Linked DNA regions of Drosophila melanogaster. The protein of the gene in region 2 interacts with the protein of the main gene of each other region in a biochemical or structural test. Each region holds a gene or a part of one and is shown on either strand. Other genes may lie near its edges. The genes, in order: per, nmo, Mad and eya.

What was found.
Region 1: of the proteins of nmo (region 2) and per, one has a biochemical effect on the other in vitro, tested with the Drosophila melanogaster proteins (one study listed by BioGRID).
Region 3: of the proteins of nmo (region 2) and Mad, one has a biochemical effect on the other in vitro, tested with the Drosophila melanogaster proteins (one study listed by BioGRID).
Region 4: of the proteins of nmo (region 2) and eya, one has a biochemical effect on the other in vitro, tested with the Drosophila melanogaster proteins (one study listed by BioGRID).

Annotation. Positions count from the first base shown.
Region 1 is NC_004354.4:2,683,896-2,691,589, reverse strand, and holds the start of per (period), read right to left. Parts: upstream 6,011-7,694; 5' UTR 5,690-6,010; intron 3,394-5,689; 5' UTR 3,346-3,393; coding exon 3,251-3,345; intron 3,191-3,250; coding exon 2,151-3,190; intron 2,087-2,150; coding exon 1,730-2,086; intron 1,668-1,729; coding exon 1-1,667. UniProt on the Drosophila melanogaster protein: Essential for biological clock functions. Determines the period length of circadian and ultradian rhythms; an increase in PER dosage leads to shortened circadian rhythms and a decrease leads to lengthened circadian rhythms.
Region 2 is NT_037436.4:7,977,247-7,982,067, reverse strand, and holds the start of nmo (nemo), read right to left. Parts: upstream 3,023-4,821; 5' UTR 2,895-3,022; exon of another isoform or gene 2,559-2,894; 5' UTR 2,388-2,558; intron 1,669-2,387; 5' UTR 1,250-1,668; coding exon 1,086-1,249; intron 1-1,085. Other genes in the region: POP4 ribonuclease P/MRP subunit, read left to right, coding at 3,463-4,083; CG8209 (uncharacterized protein), read right to left, coding at 4,399-4,741, 4,798-4,821.
Region 3 is NT_033779.5:3,146,717-3,154,342, forward strand, and holds the start of Mad (mothers against dpp), read right to left. Parts: upstream 6,038-7,626; 5' UTR 5,717-6,037; coding exon 5,713-5,716; intron 2,564-5,712; coding exon 2,088-2,563; intron 2,022-2,087; coding exon 1,331-2,021; intron 1,110-1,330; coding exon 703-1,109; 3' UTR 1-702.
Region 4 is NT_033779.5:6,533,086-6,537,857, forward strand, and holds the start of eya (eyes absent), read right to left. Parts: upstream 3,027-4,772; 5' UTR 2,816-3,026; coding exon 2,744-2,815; intron 1-2,743. UniProt on the Drosophila melanogaster protein: Tyrosine phosphatase thought to play a role in transcription regulation during organogenesis through its intrinsic protein phosphatase activity. The phosphatase activity was shown in vitro. Appears to function together with So and Dac in eye development.

The DNA.
Region 1 (7,694 bases), on a different chromosome or scaffold from region 2:
GGGAATCTGGAGAGCGTTGGCCATTCCCGGAAAGGGCATCGGCTGGTACATCATGGCCGTGGCCGCGGCCGCCGCCGGGTGTGTGTAGAAAAGCGAAGGATGCGGGTACATCACGCCGGCCATGTACTGCAGCGGCATGGCCTGGGCGGCCGCGGCAGCCGCCTGCTGCGAGGTGGTGGGCATGTCCGTGCCACCCTTGTGCGGATGCTTGTGCATCCGGGGAGAGCGCGTGGGACTGGTGGGCGTCAAGGAGGCGGGGATGTAGTAGAAGGTCGGGAAGAGGCCGGCGGAGGAGAAGCTGCTCTGGGCCATGGCCGTGTGCGTGGAGTGAACGGGCGGTGTGATGCCCACCGAGAACGGTGGCCAGAGGTTTATGTTTTGCGTGCAGGTGGGATAGGACGAGGGTCCTGGCGTGGAACTGCCCACGGAGGAGGACGCTCCAGCCGCTGCTGCCGCTCCTGCTCCGCCTCCGCCTCCGGCTCCACCTGGTGTCCCCGTTCCCGAGGTCGTTGTGGCTCTGCCTTCTGGTGTGCCTGCTACGCCTGTTCCGGATCCTCCTCCGCCCGCCACACCGGCTCCTCCTGATCCCACACCGCCAGTGCCGACTGCTCCGCCCGCACTTCCTGCCGCTCCCTTGATCGCATCTGTTCCCAGGGTTAGCTGCTGCTTGGGCTTGTTGGCCTCTCCCTCCCAGGAATGGGAGCCTCCTCTTTTTATCCCGTGGCCTGGACCGCTGTACTCCAGCATCTTAAGGGTGTCATTGGCGGACTTCTTGCTCTTCTCACCCGTCCGTCCGCGCGACTCGCGGTGCTTCTTCAGCATGAACTTCTCCATCTCGTCGTTGTGCTTATTGAGCAGGGATTCGGTCAGCGTGACTGGCGGTATGGCGGCGCTTCCGCCTTTGGATGAGCTGGCGGTGCCGGTTCCGGTGCCGGAATTTGTTCCATTGCCTGTTCCAGTGCCTGTGCCTGTGCCTGTACCTGTTCCCGTTCCAGTTCCTGTCCCGGTTCCAGTTCCTGTCCCGGTTCCAGTTCCAGTTCCAGTACCTGTACCTGTACCAGTGCCCGTGCCACCAGTGCCGGCAATGCTCGTATTTGTCACACTGCTCATGTGTATGTTACTGGCGGTGGTGAAGTTGCCCGAGGAGCCACTGCCCCCGCTGCCCTCGTGGACGGGACTCATCGGACCACTGGCGCCACTGACACACGTGCCGCGCGGCTCCGGCGGCTCCGTTTTGGGCGGATCGAGCTCCGCCGGCGCCGTGACCGGCTTGCTGTTGAAAAAACGCAGCAGGTTCTCGTTATAGTTTAGCTGGTTGTAGCTGGGCGGCGTCTCGGTGGAACTCTTACTGTCATAGTAGTCGTGGTGCGGCGAAATCTCGCCGAGCATCACGCTGTCCCGCTCCGAGACGGTCAACTCGTTCTCGTGCGGCAGCTCCAGCTTGAGATCCGCCCGGGACACCTCGTCCATGAGCGTTTCCATGAAGCTGGCCAGCGCCTGGCAGCGGCGGGAAACCTCCTGCTTGACCGTGTCCGACGGACGGGACACCGTCTCCGCCAGGCGCTTCACGATATCCTCCTTGATTCGCGTGTTCCGGCTCTGTGCCTCCTCCGATATCTTCAGCTTACATGTGGGCGCCGCCTCGAAGACGTTGCACTGCTTGGGTCCTGGAAGGTGAAATGACCTGTTTAGAGGATCATTGGATCACTGGGTCGGCACGCGAACTCACCCTGAAAGACGCGATGGTGTCCGACGACAAATTCCAGCTTGCGGGACCATGGATTGACGAAGCTGGTCCATTCGGTCTCCAGAAGGACGTAGCAACCGTTCTGGATGAGGAAGCGGTATGGCTTGCTGCAGAAGGAGGCGCCCGCCGTCTGACCCTTCTTCATTACCGTCTCGTAGGTCTCCTTCATGACTGAGAGGTCCTCGTGGTGGTAGAAGTCCATGATGCTGCGGCCAATCAGGTCCTGCGGCAGATAGCCCAGTGCACTGACCGCCGCGCTGTCCACGTGCGATATGATCCCGGTGGCCGTGTGGCGTATGGCGAACTTGGGGCTCTTCTGTGAGAGAATCTCGTCGGGAACTGGGGGGGGCAGAGATCGATGGTTAGATGGCTGGATGAAACCAAAACGGGCACAGATACTCACCCTTGTAGCTGCTCTTGATCGGAGTGGCGCAGATGACGAGCAGCATGTTGGTGCCATTGGAGACCATGTAGTTGTCCGGTCGCGCCTCCTCCGGAGCCTCCCTGAAGGTGAGCCCCAGGCGGAAGGGTTCGTAGCTGACGGGCCTGCCGATGACGCCGAATCCGCCGGACTTGAGTCCCCGGTAGCGACGCAGCATCACGCAGAAGGTGCTCTTGGCGTCCTTGGGCACGCTGCCCCTGGATTCCGCAATGGGTATGCCCGTGGTGATCTGACTGGCGAAGGTGGCGCGGTCCTTAAGGTGCACAAAATCGATGAAGGACCTGCCCAGCCACATGTCGCGCGGGTAGCCCAGGACATCGGTGATGCTGGGCGTCGTGTACAGGACGATGCCGTCGTGCATGGAGATGACGCAGCAGAAGCTGTCCTCCTTCACCCGCTCCCCGCGCTGCCCTGTGCCCGCCGCCGCTGCGCCCACCCCGGTCATGGACTCCAGCTTGCCCGGACCTGCCTCCCAGGTCTTGTCGAACTTGGCCAGCCCGCTGTCCAGACCGGCTGCGTGGCCCACTCCGCCGCAGCCGCCCATCGAGGGCGGGACAATGGTGACGGATAGCGGCGAGGGAATCGGAAAGCTCTGTGCCGCCTCCGACTTGGCCACGCCCTCGACTCGGTCCGCCTCCGACTCGGAGCCGGACTGATCCTCCTCCTCCTCCTGCTGCAGCTGCTCTATGGCCTGCGGCTCGCTGTGATCCTCGCCGTGCTGTTGATCCTGCAGCTCTCGGCAGATCTGCTGTTCTACGCACCCAGTGCCGCTGGGCCGCGGCTTCTCCTCGTCCCTGCCCTCTAGGCTCGTCGACGCCGAGATCAGGGTCTGCGCCTGCCCCGCCCCCTGGCCGGCGCCCTTGTTCTTCTTCTTCTTGCGCGACTTATCCTTGTTGCGCTTGATGATCATGTCGCTGCTGCTGGCCTGCGTCGAGGGCTTGCCCCCATAGCCACTGCTGCCGGAGGAGTGGCTGCCGCTCAGGCGGGATTTGGAGCTGCCACTGGAAAGGGGATGGATCGTTTAGACTACTCGCATGATTGAGCACATCAAATGGACTCACCTGCGCTGCGACTGGCTGTTGCTGCAGCTGTTCGAGTAGGCCGAGTCGGACACCTTGGTGTTGTGTGTGGACTCCGTGGACTCGCCGCCCTCCATGGTGCTTAGGTTCTCCAGCTTGCCCAGTTGGTTGACTAGTGCGAGATTCTGGAAAATCGTATGATGACCATTAGCACTTCAGTTATCCTTGATAGGACCTTGAATGGGGGTAACTAAATAACTAACTAACTGATTTCACTTCTATGATGAACCTATGTATCTATGTTTGTCCTTCCTTCGAGGAGATTCCGTGACTACTGAGTATCCGTTGAATGAATGACCAACCACTACAATGCGGATTCTATTTGCACCGGATTCATTCAGAGCAGCGCTGTTGCATCAACGTGAGTCGATTGCGTTGTGAGTAGTTTCACTTCGGCCGGGTGATGAAATGAATCACGAAATCTGTTGCGGCACCGGGCTGCGACGCGCAAACCCCCCCGATTCTCTAGAATCCAATTCAAATTCCGAATGTTGCTTCGTTACCGTCTTCACGTTGCTCGCCAATAGTATTGTGCCGCCCAGCTAACCACCAACGCTTTCTAGGATCTTCTAGGCCAAGCGAATGGATGATGGGGGGGAAACCAGGCGTTGCACGTGTTCCGACTGCCTGCCATTCATGTTCATGAATCATGGCTTGGATAACTTCTAGTCCTAATTGGCTGGAGCATTGTTGTGAAATTGTCACCTTGACTTGCACCTGCATGGTGGCCATTGATTGAATCGTATACTCTCTGCCCGGCCCAGACTCAGAACGATAGATAGAGAACAATGTCGCCCACACGGTGGTTGCCTGCAACGAGGCTTCACTGTGCTAATTAACAGCGCAGCGGGAGCGAGAGCGAGACGGCGCGACGCTGCATTCACGTGCAGTGCGATGTGCTTTTGCTCTCGCGTTGCCTCTGCCGCTCCGCCAACGGATGTCGTTATGCAGTCGCAATGCATCCCGGCTCCAGATTCGCAGATACGTACTTAGATACTTAGATACGTGTAGTGTGTAGTTCAGAACCATGTACCCTGTACCTCAGTAGAAGACACATTCTTTTCAGCAATTTTGCAATTACAAAAAAAGAACGCAGCGAAGAACTCATATTTCTCACAATGCACCACTATGTCGTAATCGGTGCATATAGCAAGCATTCAATTCGGCAAGGAGTTCGGTTTCAGCGATTGCATAAGACCCAGGTTCATTCTCTCCGATTTGGCTGAATCAACTAAACCCAAAAATACTACACAGACACACAGGCATTAGGGTGGACCCCATTCCAGGCTCTTCAGAGTTTCCATTAAAAGCAAAGATAACCAAATGGGCCAAGTAAACAAGCTGATAGTTGTTTCGACGGCCCAGAATTCAAGAAGAAAGAATTCCAAAGAAGGTGAAAAATTCCATTGGATAATACCATTTTTTTGCCCAACAAACTGGCTTCCAACCGACTGCTCAATCTGCCCAAATCCTTCAGTTTATACCCACCAAGGATTGTGTAACTCGCTGGTTAACCCAGTTCGCATCCCATATGTGGGTGAACTTTGACGCAGCAAAGCAAGAAGGCCAACTGGTCGAATCGAATCCGCCGCGATGCCTCTGGATTGCTGGATTACATTGGTCGTGCGTCATTCCGAGGATGTTAGATAATGCAGCACAGGAAGCGCGACAGACATGGATAACAGTCGCATAACCCGGGGGCAAGACATACTGGGAAAGACTGTGGGAAAATTCGGGGCACGAATGGGAACGTTGAGCTATTAATGGTGGTACTCTGTTTAGCTTGTGTAACGCGACTGCGACTGCGGCTATCCAAATCGTAGGGGTTTTAATAGACATTCCAAATTTGCCAGAAATTACTGCGCCCACGTGGCGTGTGTGCAGCAAATAAGCTGAAAATACCAAGGTGCAATGCCCAAAAGGGAACACGCTGCGTATGCGCAATATGCTCTGACCCAGATTGGATGCCGGGCATCGATTAGAGCTATGTAGCTACATATATGAATGAGTTCACTTCACGTAGGCGCAGTGTGCTGCAGTACTGCACTCCAGGTGACCGGAAGGCAAGCGGCTGCAGTGGTGCACCACGTTGCGTATGCGTATTCTGCGGCCAGAGTATGTTTGTTTGGCACTGCAAGGAAGGAAGTGGTGGGGCATTCCCGGAGCATTGTTCGGTAGGGTCAGGTATTTTGATGTGGGCTTTTGTTTACGCTTTGCTCGGTGTGCAACGTGCACTTATTAATAAACACTATATGTACATATGTGTAAGTGCGCCATTGGACGTTATGAACCGAGTTATTTATGTAAGCTGCCTGCCCAATGCGTTGTTTTGTATTGGCAATATGATAATGGTCTATCTAGCGCCTCTTGCTGAGATTTTTCTTTGCAGCTTTATTGCAACAACGTGACAATTGCACTTACACACTCGCTCTCGCTCTCACCCAGCTGCACTTTTTTGCGATTAGGCTGCGATTAGGCTGCTGCTGCCTTCTGTTTGGAATCTCACTTATGGTCTCACTTTTTGGCTGTGGCTATATGTCACTCAGCTCGATACACTTGACACTAACACTGGCACCAAAGAATAACGGTTTGTTTCTGGTCGAAATTAAAAAAAAAAAAACGAAGCTGTTTGTTTGCGTGATTCGACAGGTCGTTGTTGCGATTTATTTGGTATATGGCAATACTTTCTACTGTGCGACGAACGCGTTGTCGACCTTCTGGCTCTAAATTCGCACGAACACTAGTGCTCGCATCGCAAGCTCCGGTGTATAAGCCCCCGTGCACTCGCATTCCCAGAATTTTCTCACACTCACTCGCTGCTCTCCGCCGTCGCTGAGAATCGCTGGGAATCGCAGTCGCTCGGGAAATCGCTGGTCGGCTGAGATACTCGGACCCAAACATTAACCCTTGGGCGAAGCTTTTGCGCGAACAACAAAAGCAAGTAATTGGAATGCCAAAGACTCCCTTTTCCATAGCAAGAAACCCCATTTATAGATTGCTATAATGTTGGATATCTTTCTTTTTCATAGCTTCTATTGAATACTAGTTTCTTTTGGTTTTTATCTATGCTGTGGGATACGTTACATGGCACTGCCGATGCCAAGTGTCAATCCAAGCCCCACGCACCAACTGCAGGTTAAGGAAAGCTATGGAATCCCCTGCCTTTTTGGGGCTGCCTGGTGGGCGGCTGGCAGCACGTTTTCCGAGGGGTGTTTTCCGGGGAGCCGGCTGGGCGGCGGATTTGCTGGCCAAGTCACGCAGTTCGCCACGTGAGCGGCGGCTTTTCACTGCCTACGGCTTTCTCGGACGCTTTTTGCACTCGGACCCGTCCCTGCCCCACCATGAATTGTGCGAACTCGCACTGGCACTGGCATTTCGCAACGGCATTACTCACCCACCCACCTGGTCATCGTCCAAGTGCGGCCAGCAGTGCACCAGAGCGCCAGTCCGCAGTCAACGCAGTGCATCGGTCTAGCAGCTCGGCTCTCTAGCACGGATGAAAAGTTGAAAGTGGCGCCAAGCTTTTGGGGGCTTCTGTTTCCCGTTTGTCCCGTGGAAGCTCTACCTGGGCAGGTGTGCGCGGCGTGCGCTGAAACACGTACGGAGTGGGATGATAGCGACAGCTGATTTTCCCTGGCTTTTCCGCCTCCGCCCAGCTGGCTGTTGCGCGCTGTGGCCCACAGGTGGCGTTACACATACCTGCCAGCAGGGGATTCCCCGTCTTTCCACGAGGGGTTGATGAACTCCGAGCGGTCGAGTGGTTCGGTTCGATGCTGATACTACTGCTATGCAGTTACAAATGATTATTACTTGCAATTTCTGTGCATTGAATTTGGCTTTTAGTCTTCGCAATTGAAGGGTTAAAAGTTGAGGCATCTGATAAATAGGAAATGATTTTAGCTACCCCCTCATAAAAGCATATTTTTATGGACCCCACAACTTCTTTTTTTTTCGGAGCATTTTTTATTATCCTAATCCGATCGAAGTGCCCAAGGATGTCTTTATGCCTTATCAGCCGTCCCATCGGCCTGCGGTGGCTTTGAATAATTGAATTCTATTAATTGGCGGCTTTGCCGACGTCGAGTGGGTGTGAAAATCCATTTGACCCGGCACCCACTCCACACGCAGCTCCTTTGTGGCCACGTGTGTGGTGTTTGCCCAAGCTAGCCGGAGTTTGCTGGCATTTGCTGGGGCTCGCTCTTATCTATCGCGGCCACACACGTGCCACAAAGTCACAGACGCCTGCCCGAAAATGATAAAGTGCGTTCGAATTAGCCACCAAACTGCTGCTAATTTGATTTTGATGCTGCGACTGTTGACTTGCCGCACTTCGCCACTCCCCGTCGCGTTTTGATGTGCTGTGATTTCATTTGATTGCCGCTAATCGGATTCCGGGTGGTGATTTCGGGTGAGTGTCGGTCGGACT
Region 2 (4,821 bases):
TAAATAATAAATAGATATGATGATTTCATATTGCCACCTTTTTTTGTGCTATGTTAAAATCATTTGCTTGATAGATTTGCAGCTTTTCGGTTACATTGATAACAAAATGTTGCTAATCCATATTAGATATTTTACTTTACCCAGTAAACAAACAAATATTCAATGCTCACCCCATTTAAGCAACCATTAATGTAAAATTTTGCACACAAATGTAAATCAAAAGAGTCGAGGGGATAGAAAAAAAAAAGCAGAGAGAGGCCGATAAACGAGGAGATGGGCAAATAGAAAAGTCCAAATTGAGGGGGGGGGAGGGAGGCCAAAACACGGAGAGCCAGCCAGTCAGCCAGCCAGCGCGCTTAGGGTAAGAAATATATTATAGGAAAAATCCACCCTCGGGGGGCCGCAGCAACGTTGAAAACTGCACAAAGGCACAAAACCATGAAGGACAGCTAGCTGAGACCCGGGACTGAGGTTCTGAATCGAAATGAGTACGAGGATGTTGACGTTGCCCGCTGCACAAAACATCAACATCAACAGCAGCAACACAATCAAAAGGGTTACAGAATCAAAGGCCTAAGCAGAAGGTTGCTGAACCCACGGCGAGACCGTGACATAAAATCGCACAGCAAAGTAACGACGCTGCAGATACCCTTTCTTCGAATAGAACAAAGACTTTTTCAAGTCAAAGAACAACTGTTTAATCTTTAGATATTTGAATTATAAAAGTACATTGACAGGAGGGTATTAACATTTGGATTCGAAGTCGGTCTTACAACTTTTTAACCGAATGTGTTTATAATGAAATCATTTACAAATTATCATTACATGAATTCTTTAAGGGGCACAAGCATATAATAGGATATGACGTTAATACACCCTTTTCTGCATTCTATACCACCTATTGTCTTATAATTCTCAAATATAATTGCCCATTTCGGCGGGATGTCTTTGGACAACCAGCAAAACAACCCGAAAATAACCATGCTTGCTAAACCAAGAAAAAATTTGATTGTACCAATACTATGGCAACACCCTTCGCCCATAATCTGGATTATTGCACTGAGATATAGAATCATTATACTTACCAGACAACTCCGAATGCTCCATAGCCGATAGGACGATCCGGCTGAACATCCTGGGGAACAGCCGGCGGTTGATAGTAGGGAGCCGCTGCGGCCAAGATTGCGCTGGCGCCCTGTGGCGCACCACCGGCAGCACCACCCTGTACCAGTGACATCGAAACGCTCATTGATGGACTACGCGGCAAGTTTTCCAAATAATTCGAGCAGCTGCACCCGGTTCTGGTATTTGTTGGCGATGGAGCTCAGTGGTTGTGGTCCTGCTAGGCTGTGGCTTTTACTGGTGGTGGTGGTGGTTTCGACTGGGTCTTGGACTGTGGTTCTGATTCCCAAAGCTGTGACGGCGGTGGTGACTGAGGTGGTTGAGGTGATGGTGTTGCTGGAAGTGGTGCTTGATTTGATGTGGGAGAAATGGTGTTGATTGCTCAATGGATGCCGCTGGGGCCAACTGATGGCCGCCATTCAATTGTTGGCCATTTGTTGCTGTTTGCCTTGGCGTGCTCCTCTATTCAGCGCTATTTGTTTCGCTGCGTGTCGCTTGTTACACTTCTTACTTATTTAAATTAGATTTGAGGACATTGTGATGAAACTGCGGAGTGAAGTGGATAAATAATCATTTGTAGACAGTTGAATTGTGAATAATTTAAACGTTGCTAACAGAATTTACAATCTTGATTTATTTTCACAGTACGCAAGAAAACTATTGAGAATTGATTTCCTATTCGACCACTAGTTACTAGTTACCACTAGGCTCAATATTTTGTATATTCTGTAAAAGCTAGATTTAATTTAATCCGGTTTTGGTATTATTCACTGTACTTTAATTGTCGTTACTTTTGTTTGCTTTTCGAATTTTTGGTGGCAAATGATGCTGCACAGGAATCAAAAAGAAAGAAGAGAGGAGAACAGTGAGAGAGAGCGCGCGAGAGGACATGAAAAGTGCCGTTAGCTGTCGCGACCGGGGCGCGTCCGTGTATTACAATTGTAAGTGTGTGCGCATGTGAGTGCGATTCTGAGTGATTTTCGGACTGCGCTGCCTGCGCAAAAAGCCGCTCAAAAGACACAAAAATCACTTAAAATCCGACTTTTCATGCAAATTTACAAATGTTGAAAACCAAACAATGGCGAGCACCCCCAAGTCGCCAGAAAATGAACGCAATCAAAAAACGCTCGCATGAAAATCGAAAAGTAACGGGACAAAAGAAATTCGCCCGGGGATATGTAATATTTCCCAGGGTTTCGCTTAGCTTTCCGGACTAATTAAACCTAACCTATGCAAACAAGACATTCCATTTCACTTTAAATTACCTTAAAAAATGCACAAATTATTGAGCAGCGGCGGTGGCAGTTTTTCGTTTATAATTTCTTTTCTATTTTTCTTTTTTTTTTGTGTTTAACTCTTCCGCCTTTGTGGGAGCGAGATGGAAGTAAAACGCGCCGGGGGTAATATTCGTGCGTGTGTGTGTGAGAGAGAGTGAACTAGCGGGCGAGACGGAAACAATTTTGTAATTTTGTTTAATTATTATTGTAAATAACGCGAGATGAATTTTTTGTTGTTTGGCGTGTTACTACTACTAACGCGACGGCTGCTCACACACACGCGCATACACAATCGCACGCACGTTTAAACTATGTACATGTATATGCAGAGCCAGACAAACAAACAAAATTTTGCCTGGGTCACGTTTCTTGGCTCTCTCACAGCTTTTTTTCTACGGTTGCCCTTTATTGCATTATCTTTGTTATCACACGGGCCGCGGGGCGTGGCTAAAAGGGGGGCGGGCGGATGTTGGTCGTCGGTTGGCGTTTGATTACCTCGCAGCTTCCCAACGAATGAGCCTAACTTGGATTTTCGATCACACGCGGCGACGTTTGTTTCAACGATAATTCCGAATTCGTGCGCTCGACGTTCCGCTCCGTTCGAAAGTTGAGAGAGACTTGAAACATATGTTCGGCGTTGCTAGAGGTGGTCGGCCACCGATAGAAACATCGATAGGTCCGATGTTTTCCACTCGTATATTAATTCAAGGTTTGGCTATCGATGTTTTTAGAGTGCCCGCACTATATCTATTTCCATCTCTATTTCGTTGGTATTTTTTGTATTTTATGACATTTCAAATGCAAAAGCAGGATGGCAACGCCAGATTGCCCCGAATGTACGTTATTTTTAAATTGCAGCGTTGAATATGAAAAATTGCAGGTACATACAGTTTCTAATAATTAATAGCAATAATTATTATTTAGCTTGTATTATACGAAGTGCACATGCAGCTATGCATCTGAAAAAATAATATTAATATATCGCCTTTTCTTCCATCGATAGAGTTCCGCGCCTATCGATATATTGTTGATCACCAAATAAATAAAACTAAATAACAACGCAATGGAACACGCGACAAGTGAATTGAGGGAATTTATCTCAGATCTGGTGATTCCGCACCAGCGTTGCAATGTTAACATCAATCCGGATCACATCACAATGCTGGAGGGCACCAAGATCAAGAAGCAGCACTCCCGAAAACGTCGCGCCCACAAATCCAGTACGCTGAGTCGCCGGGAATATGCGGCACTTGGTTTGAACACTCTTCCCACCAAGCAGATGAAGTACGAGGAGGCACTGCCACTGCACCACCTGTGGAAGGGCTATGTACGCGAGCATCTGGAGCTGAGGGAAGGTGACGAGGTGCCCCAGGTGCACGATGCTCGCTACGACGAGTTCAGCCGCAAGTTGGTGAAACTGGACTTGCACGGTGCCAAGATGAAGGTGCTGCAGTCCAAGTGCTCCACCCTGGAAAATTTGGCTGGCATCTGCGTCATGGACACCAAGAACGTGCTGAAACTGCTCGGCAAGGACCATCGGCTGCGCACAATACCCAAGAGCGAGTGCGTCTTTGGTATGAAAGTGGGCAACATGGAGTTCACCATATTCGGGCAGCACCTCAACATTCGACCCGCCGAGCGAAGCGTTAAGAAGATCAAGAACTTTGTGAAGCCCTTCATGTAGGAACTACAGGACCAATCATTAGCCATAGAAATTGAATCCTATTGTAATTTAAGGAAAAAAGTTTATTGGAAAGTTAGCATCGCTTTTCAATAGAAATTTAATAATTGCCCTCAAAGATCCTCTAAAACTTTACTTGTATTTGAGATTGTTGTGTTTAATATATATATAAAACCGTACATTAATTGTTTTTCTTGTTTTTTTTTTTTTTTTTTGGGGGGGGGGGGGTATATTTCGCGCCGCGTTTTTTTCGTATTTAGGTTCTAGTTTATGGGAGAGATTACCCGGATTCAAATATATCCAGTTTGTAGGAAAGATTTATGCGGGCGTCTTGGTCATGGTGATGACAGCGGATGGAACCAAGCCGAGCACTTCCAGCGGCTTCTCGTAGTCGTCCTCGGCGAACAGCTTGCGCGGAAAGGTGGTCATCAGAGAGAAGGGCGACTCGATGCCGGTCTTCATCTGGATGAACACACGTACGGCGGACAGCTGCTCCTTGACGTTGAAGGTTTCCTGTAGTGTTGAGCCATCCTGCAGGCGCACCTGGATGCGGGTTTCGGTGTAGTCTCGCGGCGGAGATTTCACACCGGCCGGTGGTGACGAAACTGTGGTGGAGCTCACGGATGGAGCTGGCTCTGCGTTGCCCAATTCCTTTTGTTCTCTGCATACCATGAATTATAATGAATTATGAAGTGGAAGGATAGGGCTAATCCTTACCTAGCCTTGCGTGCTGCCTTGTCC
Region 3 (7,626 bases), on a different chromosome or scaffold from region 2:
CTTGTTTGATGTTTTCGATTTGTTTGCAACTTAAAATTAGTTAAACCATATATATATTTAAATCAACTATATTGAACATTGAATTCGTTGATCCAAGGCGAACCGCAAATGAGAAAAATAAAACATAAGCTAGGGCTTCTTCAAAATCATTTTAAGAAATGTATTGCAATAAGTGTTTTCATATCCCTACGTAAGTTACTTGTTCCTTATGTAATTAAAGTTGGTAGGATTAATTCAATGTGTTTTTATATTTAAAGCAGTTTTGCAATGACACATAATTAGCACTTGAAATAGACTTGAACAAGAACTGTTTTGCCAATGGGCATAGATCATTAATATTATAGCATGTAGATCATTGTAAATAGTTATACCATTTTGTAATTGGTTTCTTAGCTCGCTGTCCATTTTCATTACTCTGTTTTAGCGTTAGGAATGACATTCGCATAGAAAATCATACGATAAACTATAAAATATGGGCAAAGGGCGGGTATTGGAGTAGCTGCCGTACATCATCTATATAAATCTGCGACTGAGTGGCATGGACCTCCATCCTCAGGCCTACAGACCTATGCTCTCTCCATTGTCCTGTGTTCTCTACGTCTTTTCACACTTAGCTTTCACTCACACGCACTCATCATTTAGCTACCGGTTTTGTGTTCCTTCTCTTCCGTCTCCATTGAGGACTCGAGCCTCATCTTAAGCTTAGGATACCGAACTAATTGCATTATGCGGAGAGCCCATTTGGGTGAGCACCTTGTCCAGCCACTGGAGCGGCCCGTGCAGATGGATTTCAATCCAACAGGGCGTCGAGGTCACATCCTGGCGATGATACTCCGCACCCCAGCCCTTCACGAACGACATCCGGATCGTGCACATCTTTGTCAGCTCGTAGACGGCCTCGAATCCATTGTTCACCGACTGCGACAGCAGCTGAGCAAATTCCTGATTGTTGAAGATCTTCAGCGAGCAGCCCGGCGGTATTTTGCACACGGTGCTCGGATGGAATCCGTGGTGGTAGTTGCAGTTGCGCGACTGCACGAAAATGGCGGAGTCGGATAGGCATTCGGCGTAGACCTCGCCGGTCACATAGTATAAATGAACACCCTTGCCTGGGGAAGAAGAAACATTTTGAGTTAAAAAGACAGGTAGTTGGATTCTTGAAGTCCATAGCTTTCTACTCTACTCAATGCCTATTTTTATAACTGATAAACACAAGTCGCTTTCTAATTTAAGATTACCAATGTGTAATCTTAGTTATTAACCACTTTAAGATAGTTGCTGATGGGAAATCTCTGTGAGTAAGTTAATTTAAGTGCTAAAATCGACTCACCTATATGACGGCGTGTGTTCTCGATGGTGCTATTCCTGTTCACGTTGCTCAGCTGGCCGAGACAGCAGCGGTCCGAGTTGTTGGAAGGATTCGTGAAACCGTCAACGATCACGGAGTTGTTGTTGCAGTGGAACACCTCGCCCACGCGGCAATTTAGCTCGTAGTAGGCTATCGACGCCCAGAAGGCGGGCTCCGAATAGCTAACCTGGGCAACATCGCCCATCTGAGCATCCAGCAGCTGGCCACCGTCGTTCGGATTGTTGGAGTTGCCATCCTCCGAGGGACTGTAGGCGGGTGGCGGTGTTCCCGCCAAGCTGTCGTACGGCGAATTGGGATTGGAGTTGACGGAACTCGGACTGCCCACCGATGTGTTGCTGGTGCTCAAGCTGTGCGAGTTGAATCCACTGTTCGAGTAGCTCACATTGTGCGGCATACTGGGCTCGGCCACATGGTTGAACTGCAGCATCGAGTGACCGGGCGCGAATTCCGAGTGGCGAGGAACGAGTACTGGCGGGAGCACCGGACTCTCCACGCGCTTATAGTGATACGGATTGATGCACACCTCCTTCTGCTTGGCGCTGAACGGATACTGGCACAGCTCGAGTGGCTTCAGTTCGTGGTGCGACTGCAGATCTGGCCAGCGCCACACGCGGCAGTAGATCACATGCGGCAGACCCTTGCGATGGGAGACCTGATATTCGGAAATAGGAGTTAATAATCATCTGTTACTTAGCTGGCCATGTGGCTTGTGACCCACCTGTAATCGTCCGTCCAGCGAGCGTGGAATGGTGACACACTTCGAGGGCTGACCGGGACAGGAGAGCGCACGCTCCAGCTCCTCGATGGCGCCCTTGCGCTTCTTCAACTTCTTCACCAGACTGTCGACGGCCTTCTCCGCCCACTTCTCCTCTTCGTCACCCTGTTTCCAGCCCAGCAGCTTCTTCACCGCCGGCGATGTGAAGGAGAATAGCGAGCCCAGTGTGGACATCGCGCTGCTTGTGTTCGATTCCACATCGTCGGTGTCCATTCTGTTGCTGCTGCCGCTGATTGCTGTCGTCAAATTGAGGTTGTTGCTGCTGCCACTGCTGCAGATGTGGTTATTGTTATTGTTGATGTGGTGGATGTTGTTGTTGTTGCTGCTGCCGCTGCTGATGGTGGTGGTGGTGGTGGTGCCGCCGTTGATTTGGGGTGGAGTCACCCGATAACCGGTATAACTATCAGCGGGCGGATAGTCTGTGAAAAGAGCAAGTAAAAAGCAAATATAAATAATAAATACAAATAGAATTGCAGGCATTCATCATCGAGCTTAGATTGTCTCAGCAACGCCCACAACACAACGCATGCAAAATTCGAATGCACTGAGAGAAATGTTATAGAAAACTTTGCATCTAATTCAAGCAAATGTTTATACGTAACAAAAGGGGAAGTCAGCAACTTATGTGACCCTTTTTCTTCGAGTGTCTTTACCCGCTTGGCCAAGTGCCCAGCAGAAATTGGAGGAGGAGTGAGTATCCATGGGGCCTGGCAGTGCATCGTGTTTCTGGCTAGTGAATGAAGTCGTTGGGAGGTTCCTGTCATGAACGGACTCCTCCCACTTTCAATGTTGGCGGCCAATTGCATGCAAATTGCCTGCAACATTTTCTCATTGAGAATAATGGCCATTATTGCTTCACTTAACCAACTAGCTGATTAATCGAATCTCGATTTCGTTGGAAACTTATTTTTATCTATTAAATATGGTTATTGTTCGTATTCAATCGCAGCTGACGTCAATTGTGAAACGATTCTATTGTAAGGGGGGTATTTTTGAGGTCTGACAGTTCTTTGAATTCCAAAAAACCACAAAGGTTGCGAACGAAAAGAGTTCGCACTTTTCAACGTTATAAATAGTATTAGTTTTCGAACACAACAATTCTGCAAAAATATATGAATAATAGGTAAATTTATGAAGCACAGATAATAGTTTCATGTGCTGGTTTTCGGGCTGCCTTATCGATTCTTAGAAAATTGGCATTAAGAAATTGGTTTATCAACAGAAAAAACTAAACTATAGCAATAAAAACCCACTGTCTTCATTCTATTTAGTTAGGCTCCACTGTACTGCAGTAATATTCGAGTCGAGTGGCGAGAACTGCATCTCATAATGAGCGCAAATGATAACCAAATGGTGTTCGACTTGTCAGCGCCACAATTGTGGGTATTCCCCCCTGTTTTCTACGCCCCCCCCCCTCCATACTTTTCCCCACCAAAGACAACAATTCCATTTGAATTATGACATTTCAATGTTAACAGCATTTCTGAGGAACTTCTCTCCGTTGGCCAAGTGGCTGCGCTCCAGTTGGCTGTCTTAGCCTCAATCTCGTTGCTTTACTCAAGGTGTCAAAAAATGTTTGATTAAATTTAAAAGTGACAAAACCTAATTGAATGAAAATTTGTAGTAGCAATTAATTTGTGCAAGCTGGAGCAAAAATCGGCGAGCCACACAAGGCGAACTTGCTAGGCGAACCACCCATTTTTGTGGCAAGCAAACGGGCTGGTAAATCCAATTTCAAAAGCAATTAAATGCCGGCGATAAATCAACAAGTGCAGCACTTGGACAACAAGAAAACACCTCTCGATTGGGCTCCCGACAGACCAAATGGCGCATATTTCTGGCCAAATTAGCCGTTGCGTGAATTAATTTCGATTTTCTCGCTCAACTCGGGCCTAAAAATTTTGGGGCGTTGCCGTTTTCTTTTTTTTTTCGCAGCATTGACAATTTTATGTTGTCGCCCATGGAAGGGGGCGTGGTCAACGAGGACCAGTGGTTGGGGGCAGTCACTTTTCTAATTGCCCAAAGTCAACCAGAGCCTCCGGCGGTAGATATATTGCTCTAAGAATGCTCTAACTTTATCACTAGCCTACAAGAATATATTGAAATTAATGATAAGTCACACAACCATTTTGATTACCAAAACTAGCTTAAAAACCTCTTCCAAAAGATTAGGATTACGAACAAACAATCGGTACCTTATCGAAAATGGTACACCTTTGCTTATAACTAATCCCAAAATTAAACATACAGTGGAGTACCAGTTCACATGGTCTCTCCTTCTCAGTAACTCAGGATACAAACGGAGTGACACTTGGCGGACAGACTTATCGAGGGGGTTAGTGGAGATAGAGAACTCTACCCTACGTATTTACCCAGCTGACTAGTGTCGTGTGTTTTTAGGTGGCAATGGTGCTCTAGTGGAATTCGATTGATTTGAGTGGGGCAGGCATACAAATTTCGATAATGCCCCCGTTTTGTTTGTGCAAAGCTCGATTGCAGGTGAGGTTTTCGACATAATCAGTCGGTTTTCAAAAGGGGAAACTACCCCATTAATTCGCAGGAATTACATAAAAACTTTATTTACACGATCATAACAACATATTCAACATATTTATGATGTTTATTCGGAGATTTGATGGTTTTCCAAACAACAAAGTGGCTTTCTTTAGGCACTTAAACGATTTTCTTGTTTTGTCTCTCAATGCATCTCGAGTTGAACGATACTAAATATAAATATAATAAGTCCTTTATGATCCATTATCATATGGGACATTCCCCATATCAATTAAAGATCAATAATCGTAATTCGCAATTACATATTACCCGAGCTGAGATCACGTACCCAACGTACCCGCCCAAAGTGGCCCAGTCTTCTTTCTGCTTTCAAGAAAACCACACTCGAAGGAAAGTTCTTCATTGCTTTCAAAGCAAATTCAATTGATGGTTCTTGGTTTAAAGTGAATCTACTTTTAGTCTTATATTTAGAGTAACTAAATTGAAGAATTGCATTTCAAATCGGCTGTGTACATTCTTCTGGTTAGTGATTCCATTGTGAGTTTCTTTTCAGTGCATCGCTAGTCAGGGATCATAACTCAACTGGAGAAACGGAGGAGCGAGGATATCGAGGCACTTTTATGGCAGGCACGCATTCGCGCATGCGTATCATACCATTCCAATCGATAATCAATCATAAATGCGGCAGTGACAATAAGGCGTAAATCATGGGAGCCAGGTAGAAGTAGAAATCAAGGTGGATGGATGGCAAGTACACAAGTACAGAAGTACAGAAGCACTTCCGCTGCCATTGAAAGCGGGCAAAAAGCGTGGTAAAGGGTACTACGACTAGTGCCACAAAAATAACAACAAAACAACAAGAAAAAAACGAACAGACAGAGAAAATAGGGACTTGGACCCATGTTTAAAAATAAACAAACAATGCACACACAAAAACGCAGCGCGATAAAGACCAAAACCAAACAGGCCAAAGTTTCGATTTGATGCGAGGAGGAAAACTCAAAAATCGAGCAACTCGAGGCAAACGAGAACTATGTACGAACTAAGAACCTACACATGATGATGTTGAGATTGCAGATATTATTTTATTTATTTTTATTGCACGCACAAACACACACACACACACGGACAAGAATTCAGCATCAAAATGTTATTTTATTCGTATGCAAATCGCAAACGCGACCCTCCACGACGATCGGGCATCCAATCCAGTCGCCTCAGCAGTTACATTTCCGCTGCGAGTCTTCAATTCAATCGTTATCACCGTAATAACTTCATTTATTTAAGCCTTTTGCCGTATTATTTTTTATTTTCGCCGTAAATTACGCAAAGTGGAAATGGCAGCGAGCGCGAATCAGAAGTCAACTGCACGACACGACCGATCGACAACGAATGCCGAACGGGTTGCCCAGCAAACTGAGTGCGCCGAGTGTTGATTGACTGACTGACTGACTGACTGACTGACGAACTGACTGACTGAGTGAGTGACGAACTGAACGCAGCCCAAACTGCATTCGTATTGTGTATCGGTGTGAGTTCGCCAGGGATGCGAAGCAGCAGGTCCATCCTAAAGTATCTAAAGGTAACACAAACTACTTTCTACAGTTATTAATAAGTTTAAGACTGGAAAATTGAGTTATTATATTCCATTTTCTTAATATTTATCTATTTAGTAATGTACTTATTGTAGCCCTAAGAGAGTATAAATCTAGTGTATGTATCCCTATTGAATCCCTTCTTTATCACCAGCTAGTCCGCAGCCCTGATTTCTGAAGACCTCTGAGTGACGTATTCGTATTCGTATTCCTGTGCTCGTAATTGGTTTCAGTGTGCGTTTGGGGCAGCCAAGTGCACACCACTACACCCATACAGGCAACGAAAGTTTTGTTTTAAACAAATCAAATGCCCTATCTGCAGTTGGGGGCGCCAGCACGTGAGCGCGAACGTGTTTGTGTGCAGCAGATCACACGGCGAGAAAAATATGCAACATTTGTATTTCAAATAACAATGTTACTTGAAGAACTAAGATTTAACATTTGAGTACTCTTTTACTTAACTCTTTTTCGAATTAAATAGACATTGCTGTTTTTAGATGCACACTAATTTGTTTGCAGTGCATGGCCTTTGGTGGTGTTGGAGGTGGCGTCAACCCACAGCCACAATCAAACTGTAAACACCCCACCGCAACCACAACAAAAATGAAGGGAACGTAGTTTCAGGGGAGGAGTTTAAGAGAAGGCAGCGTCAACGAATTTTTTCGTGCGTGGGACCGGCGAGTAATTGAACCTAAAATTCGATGAAGCCCTCCTTCGGCAGAGTGTTTTCGGTACGAAAATAAGCGGAAACAAATCGAAATTCTATTCGCAAATGCACTGCCAATTTTTTTTAATGGGTAAAGCAACGAAACTAAAGTTTTTTCGTTACGAAATCTTTTGAATTGAAGTCAAGCGAACCTATTTTCTTGGCCCGGACTGTACGTGTGCTTAGAATGCGAGCATGTTTATGTGCGATCGCTCCTCCCTCCCTTCGCTTTTATTGCGTGTTTAACACTACTAAACGCGAACTTATTGCAAACATGGGTAGCATTATACAGTCGCAGTAAAATCGAAATAGTAATGAAGCGCACTCTCCTCGAAAGCAGAAGTGAAAACGACGAAAAATAACAAAATAATTATGTAGTCCCTTTGGAACAATAAAAATTTATGCACGCAAATTGCACAAAAGCGGAAAACTCAAAACACACACGTGCCGAAGTGCAAACGTCAAGGGGCAAAAATGCGCAGGCACGGCAGAAAATCCTTTTTTAAGTAAATTAACTCAATTCTAATTGCAAATAATTGCCGCGATAATTGCAGGGGGCCACGCAGAGGCTTTGTGTCATGTGAGTAATTGAGCTGTCAACACGGGGACACCACCGCTTTTCCGCAAAAATGAAAAAAATTGCCAGTCGGTGGTGGGTGGTCTACAC
Region 4 (4,772 bases), on a different chromosome or scaffold from region 2:
CGTCTGGCGTGGAATCGCCCTGCTGAGCTCGGCACTTCCACCGCCTGAAACTCTATTTGGGTTATCCAGTGCGAGTGGCGAAAGAAAACAGCAAATTTTACATAATTCGCAATCGCCATTTGCTGCTGCGCCAAGCGATTTTCGCTGCCCGAGCTTGTGCGTGGGAAAAAGTTTAACTCAACTGTTACTCGGATGTGCGGCGCCATTTGGAGGGGAAGTCGGAAAGGGGGGGGGGGAGGTGGTAGTGCTCGGAAAAGCAGCAGGTGGCAGCGGATTTCGATAAGGATGCAAAATGGCTAGATGGAACAAAGATGACATTTAACTATACAGACTTTCGAGGAAAGATTGTGTCTCTAGGCATACAATAGAACGTCCTTTACATCCACTTACTATGTTTTATATTTATAAAGCTTTGACAATTCAGCTTTTGCCAGAATGATTTTGACAAATGGTCAAAAAAAAACGCCCCTTAAGAAGACATGTATGCAAATCGAACGGAAGCCAGATAAATCGAAGGCGGACTAAGGGGCGCGGCAAGCCCAGGTGCTGGAATTTGTGCGCCTCTCCACCCCTAAAGAAGTCCCTCAAAACAAAAAAAAAAAAAAACAAAAAAAGAAGGGCGGGAAGGGAGCGAAAGCTGAGCGGCTTCGGTTGACAGCTTCTGCCGTCCGGCGAGATGACCACACGCACGCACTGTCCATCATCCGGTGATCTGGTGGGGGGCAGCAGGACGCAGTTTGCTCAGATTTGTCGACGGACCAAGGGAACACGCGCATGCGCAGCGGCGGACAAGCGGACAGATTGCCGAACGGTAGCGTTTCGATGAGCTGCGCATTGGAGTTGCGATCTCGGGTCGCGAATTCTGCAGGATTGCGTGCTGCACGAGCAACCGAATTCGAGTCCGAAGTTGTATGCAAAAGTGAGCTGGTGAGGGGCCAACAAAAAAAAGGGGGGGGGGAAAGGGAAGAGTCAAATGCAACCTTTTACTAAACTAATTTATGGCACAAGCTGACAACGTAAACATTAACACAGACAACACTCGAATCAGTATCTGGGGGGGTTTTGGTTGGGCCGGCTTGGTTGGTTCCAGCTGCGGAAAAGAGTGGGAGATATGTGGTATAAAGACCTGTTTGTGGGCATCTTTAACGAAATTCCTGTGATCGTAATCTCTTTGTCTCTTCTGCTGCTTTAGAAGAAGATTAAAACACACACACTCGGTCACAAAAAGGCAGGCAAACAAAAGACAAGACAAGAAGACGGCGACAAATTTTTTATTAACCCGGCCCTAAGACCCCGAAGACCCCTACAAACCCCTTGAGCCCCCTTGAGTCCCCCTCGAGTCCCCGCGATAAAAATCAAAATAAACAAGAGGAAAATTTGTATCTTCTGGTGGACGAAGTGGAATCGAAGGAAGGGGCTGCTATGGCATGGGACCTATCCCATGCACCTTAACACTTTGGCACGTTAATTACGTTTTGGGCCACGATCGTGGTAGTATAATCAACAATCGCCAAGTGTCAATCGCAGTGGCCATAATCAATATTTCGACTCCTCCACCGCCCCCCCCCCCCCCACACACTCGCACACACGCACACCGATGTGAATTCTCTTTGTCATAAATTACATGCAGCGCGTATTGTCGCAGTTGAATTATGGCGTGTTAATTTTTACGATTACGGCTTAAACTTAATTAAAATGTGATTAATGCCGCTGGACGAATGCCGTAGCCCAGCTCTGGCTTTTGTGGGCCAGGCTCTTTAAATTCCCATAAAGCCGGCACCCAGAGACCCACTAGAGCTGTAATTTATGCTCTATTAATATTTCGCCTTAACCATCCGGCCATCCGGCCACTCCACGTTCGTCACGTTTCCTTCGATCCGACTTTGTCTTAGCCGTAGTTTAGGGACCCATAAAAGCCTGGAGAATGCCGTTCCATTAAATCGTCGGGAAACGAACTTTACGCTAATCTCGGCCAGACTTTGCATCGCAAGCGTGCAGTGAATGAAAAGGCTTTGGTAATTTGATGGGAGAAATGCATCAGCAGCGAATTGGAAAAACGTTTGTCACTATTTCGGCACTTTATTAAGCGTTTTTAATGACCTTTTGGGACTCAACTTGTTTGCTTCATTACCCCACAGCCAAAAGTTAAGCCGATTAATGCGTTGTAATAAAATTTTGGTCAGGTGCCCATAATCTTTATCCCCATTAACGATTTCCCAACAATGAGCAGTCATTAAAGCGCTTTTCTTCGCAGGATGGGTCTATAAAATTGATAATCCTCTGTGAATGAGTAACATTCCATACATTTTCAAGCAACCCAATGAAATTGTATTTCTTCGAGTGTATTTGCACGACTTATTCGCTTAGATTTATGAAATCGAATAGCATCTGAACACGACTTAGTTGTCAAGCTGGACTAGATTTATATATGAAGTGTGCTATGATATCACACCGACCAATAGATCAGCTTAAAGCATCCTAAACTGTTGTTCGTACATATATTAGACTCCATCCAGGCTTGATAAATGAGAGTCGAAGCGTTATCTCGCCATGGAGTTTCACTTTTTGGATACTACTCCCCGACTAGGTGAAGCCCCACAAGGCGCAACCACCAAGGAAGCTACCGCCGTCATCATAGTCATAACACTAGCAATACTAGTAATAGTAATAACCGACGGCACAGCCATCTCAACCACATCACTTTTAAAGCTTCGCGAGGAGAGCACTACGACTATGTGATTACCTTTGGCTCGATCATTTTGTCAATTAATCCGCATCGCGGGGCAGCGTAGTTGTATGGCATTAGGGTGACCATTCTGTGGACTTGCGATTACTTTCACTTGCAACACACACAAAAACACACACGCGTGGCGGGGTAGTGAACTCGACCGTTTCAGGTAGTTAATGTATGGTCGATGTTTTGAAATCGAATATATATTTAGTTATAGCGTTTCAGAACGAACGAAATGTATCTGGTAGGTTTTTTATCTGCGACTTCGGGCGGATCGACCGTTCCCGTAGCGCTCGCTTTGAGTGGCTCGAATCGACTGAACCACCGAAACAGCCGACTTTTGTGGCTCAATGCGACGCCGGCAGCGAAGCGGCAGCGGCGCTGCTTGAGTGGAAATCCCTGGCTCGGATTATTTGGATTCGTATTCGTACCGGCTAAATGTATCTCGGCACTCGAAACGAGTTCGTGTGAGCGGTGCGCACTCGGAGCAGCCTCTCTCGCTCCCTCCGCCGGCCAGAGAATGCGCCTAGACTCCGCCCATTCCCATTCCCCAAATCGAAGGGCCAAGAATATCGCACAGGGGTGGGTCGAAAACCACTTTTCCTCAAAGTTTGTTGTTTCTTTCTCTGTATTATGTTAGTTTTTTTTTTTGGTAAGTATCTCTCGGATGCGGGCGAACAATGCCCATTGTGAATGAGATTTTGCCGCTGGGCGAACGCCAACTGAAAAGTTGGTTTTCCTATGCGCATAAATTAATAAATTAATTCGAAACAACTCCGCCACCATTCGAGCACATAAAACAAATTAATAAGCTAATCAGTTGGAGTTTCTCGGCCTGTTCAATGGTAACCGCCAGCAAATTTAATGGCAATCGTAAAACGCGCAACGCGAATATCGGGTAATTTAAAACGCCTAAAACTTATTGGGTTCGATGGATCCGTAACGCATTAGAGAAGGAGCTCCCAAAAATCGAAATGCTCATGTAAGACGAGCCGAAGTGTGCTGGGCATAATCAAACCGATACGGGACATGGTATATGGAATATGGCAAATGGTATATGGTATATGGGATATCCGATCTGTGGACGGATTAGTGAGTGCCATAAACAAATTGGCATCTAATCAAAATCACAGGGCTATCTCTCCGTCCATGCAGAAGTGAATCACTTCCGATGGTAATTGGGTAGCATAAACATGATGGTTTAGAGCCACTAATGAGCTCGATTAAATGAATTAGAATGCTCAGACAGTATGGCAGCCAATTGATGTTGATTGGGGCAGCTCTGGCAAATTACTGAGCACATAAATTTTAAAGTGTGTTGAAACTTCATCCAAATGAAATTCTAGTAAAAGAGTTAAGCTTTAAGGTAGGCAACTTGTAAAATATCTTTTAAACCTCTCCTGAATATATATTTTACAATTAAACAAACAGTTGTCATAAACCGATAGCGGTTAACATTTTTTATTCTAATAAATATATATTTCATGGCCGTCTCGTATTTATTTATTTATACGTCTCCGTCGAGACGAAACAATTGAATCGTGTGCTAAACAATTCATGTTGATTCAACACTTGATTTTTGGCCCAACAGAGACTGACTTAAAAGCCTGGATGTAATTACAAGTGAGCAAGTGAAACAAGTGCATTTAAGTAAATAGGCGACATGCACACATGCAATAGAATTGCAATGGAATTCCGACAATGAGCCCATTCGATCCCACAACAAATTCAGCCACAAGAAATAACAAAAGTGAAGCTAGAAATTTGATTATGGCATTTTGTTAAGGCTTTCCACAGAGAAAATCGAGCATGACCTCAAAGTGAGGGAGTGCACTTCTTGGTGGATACATTTTGGGTGCAGTGAATCTCCGAGTCGGGCATTAAATTAGCTTTAATCGCTTTAGCACGATCGTGAGACAACATGTCGTCAATTATATCTACGATGATCATGGTGCTCCTCCCTCCACGATAATCCGTCTTCCCTCAGTTTGCCACTCGGAGAGTCTTCTGTAAACAAATCTGCGCACAATTCGCTGCATTT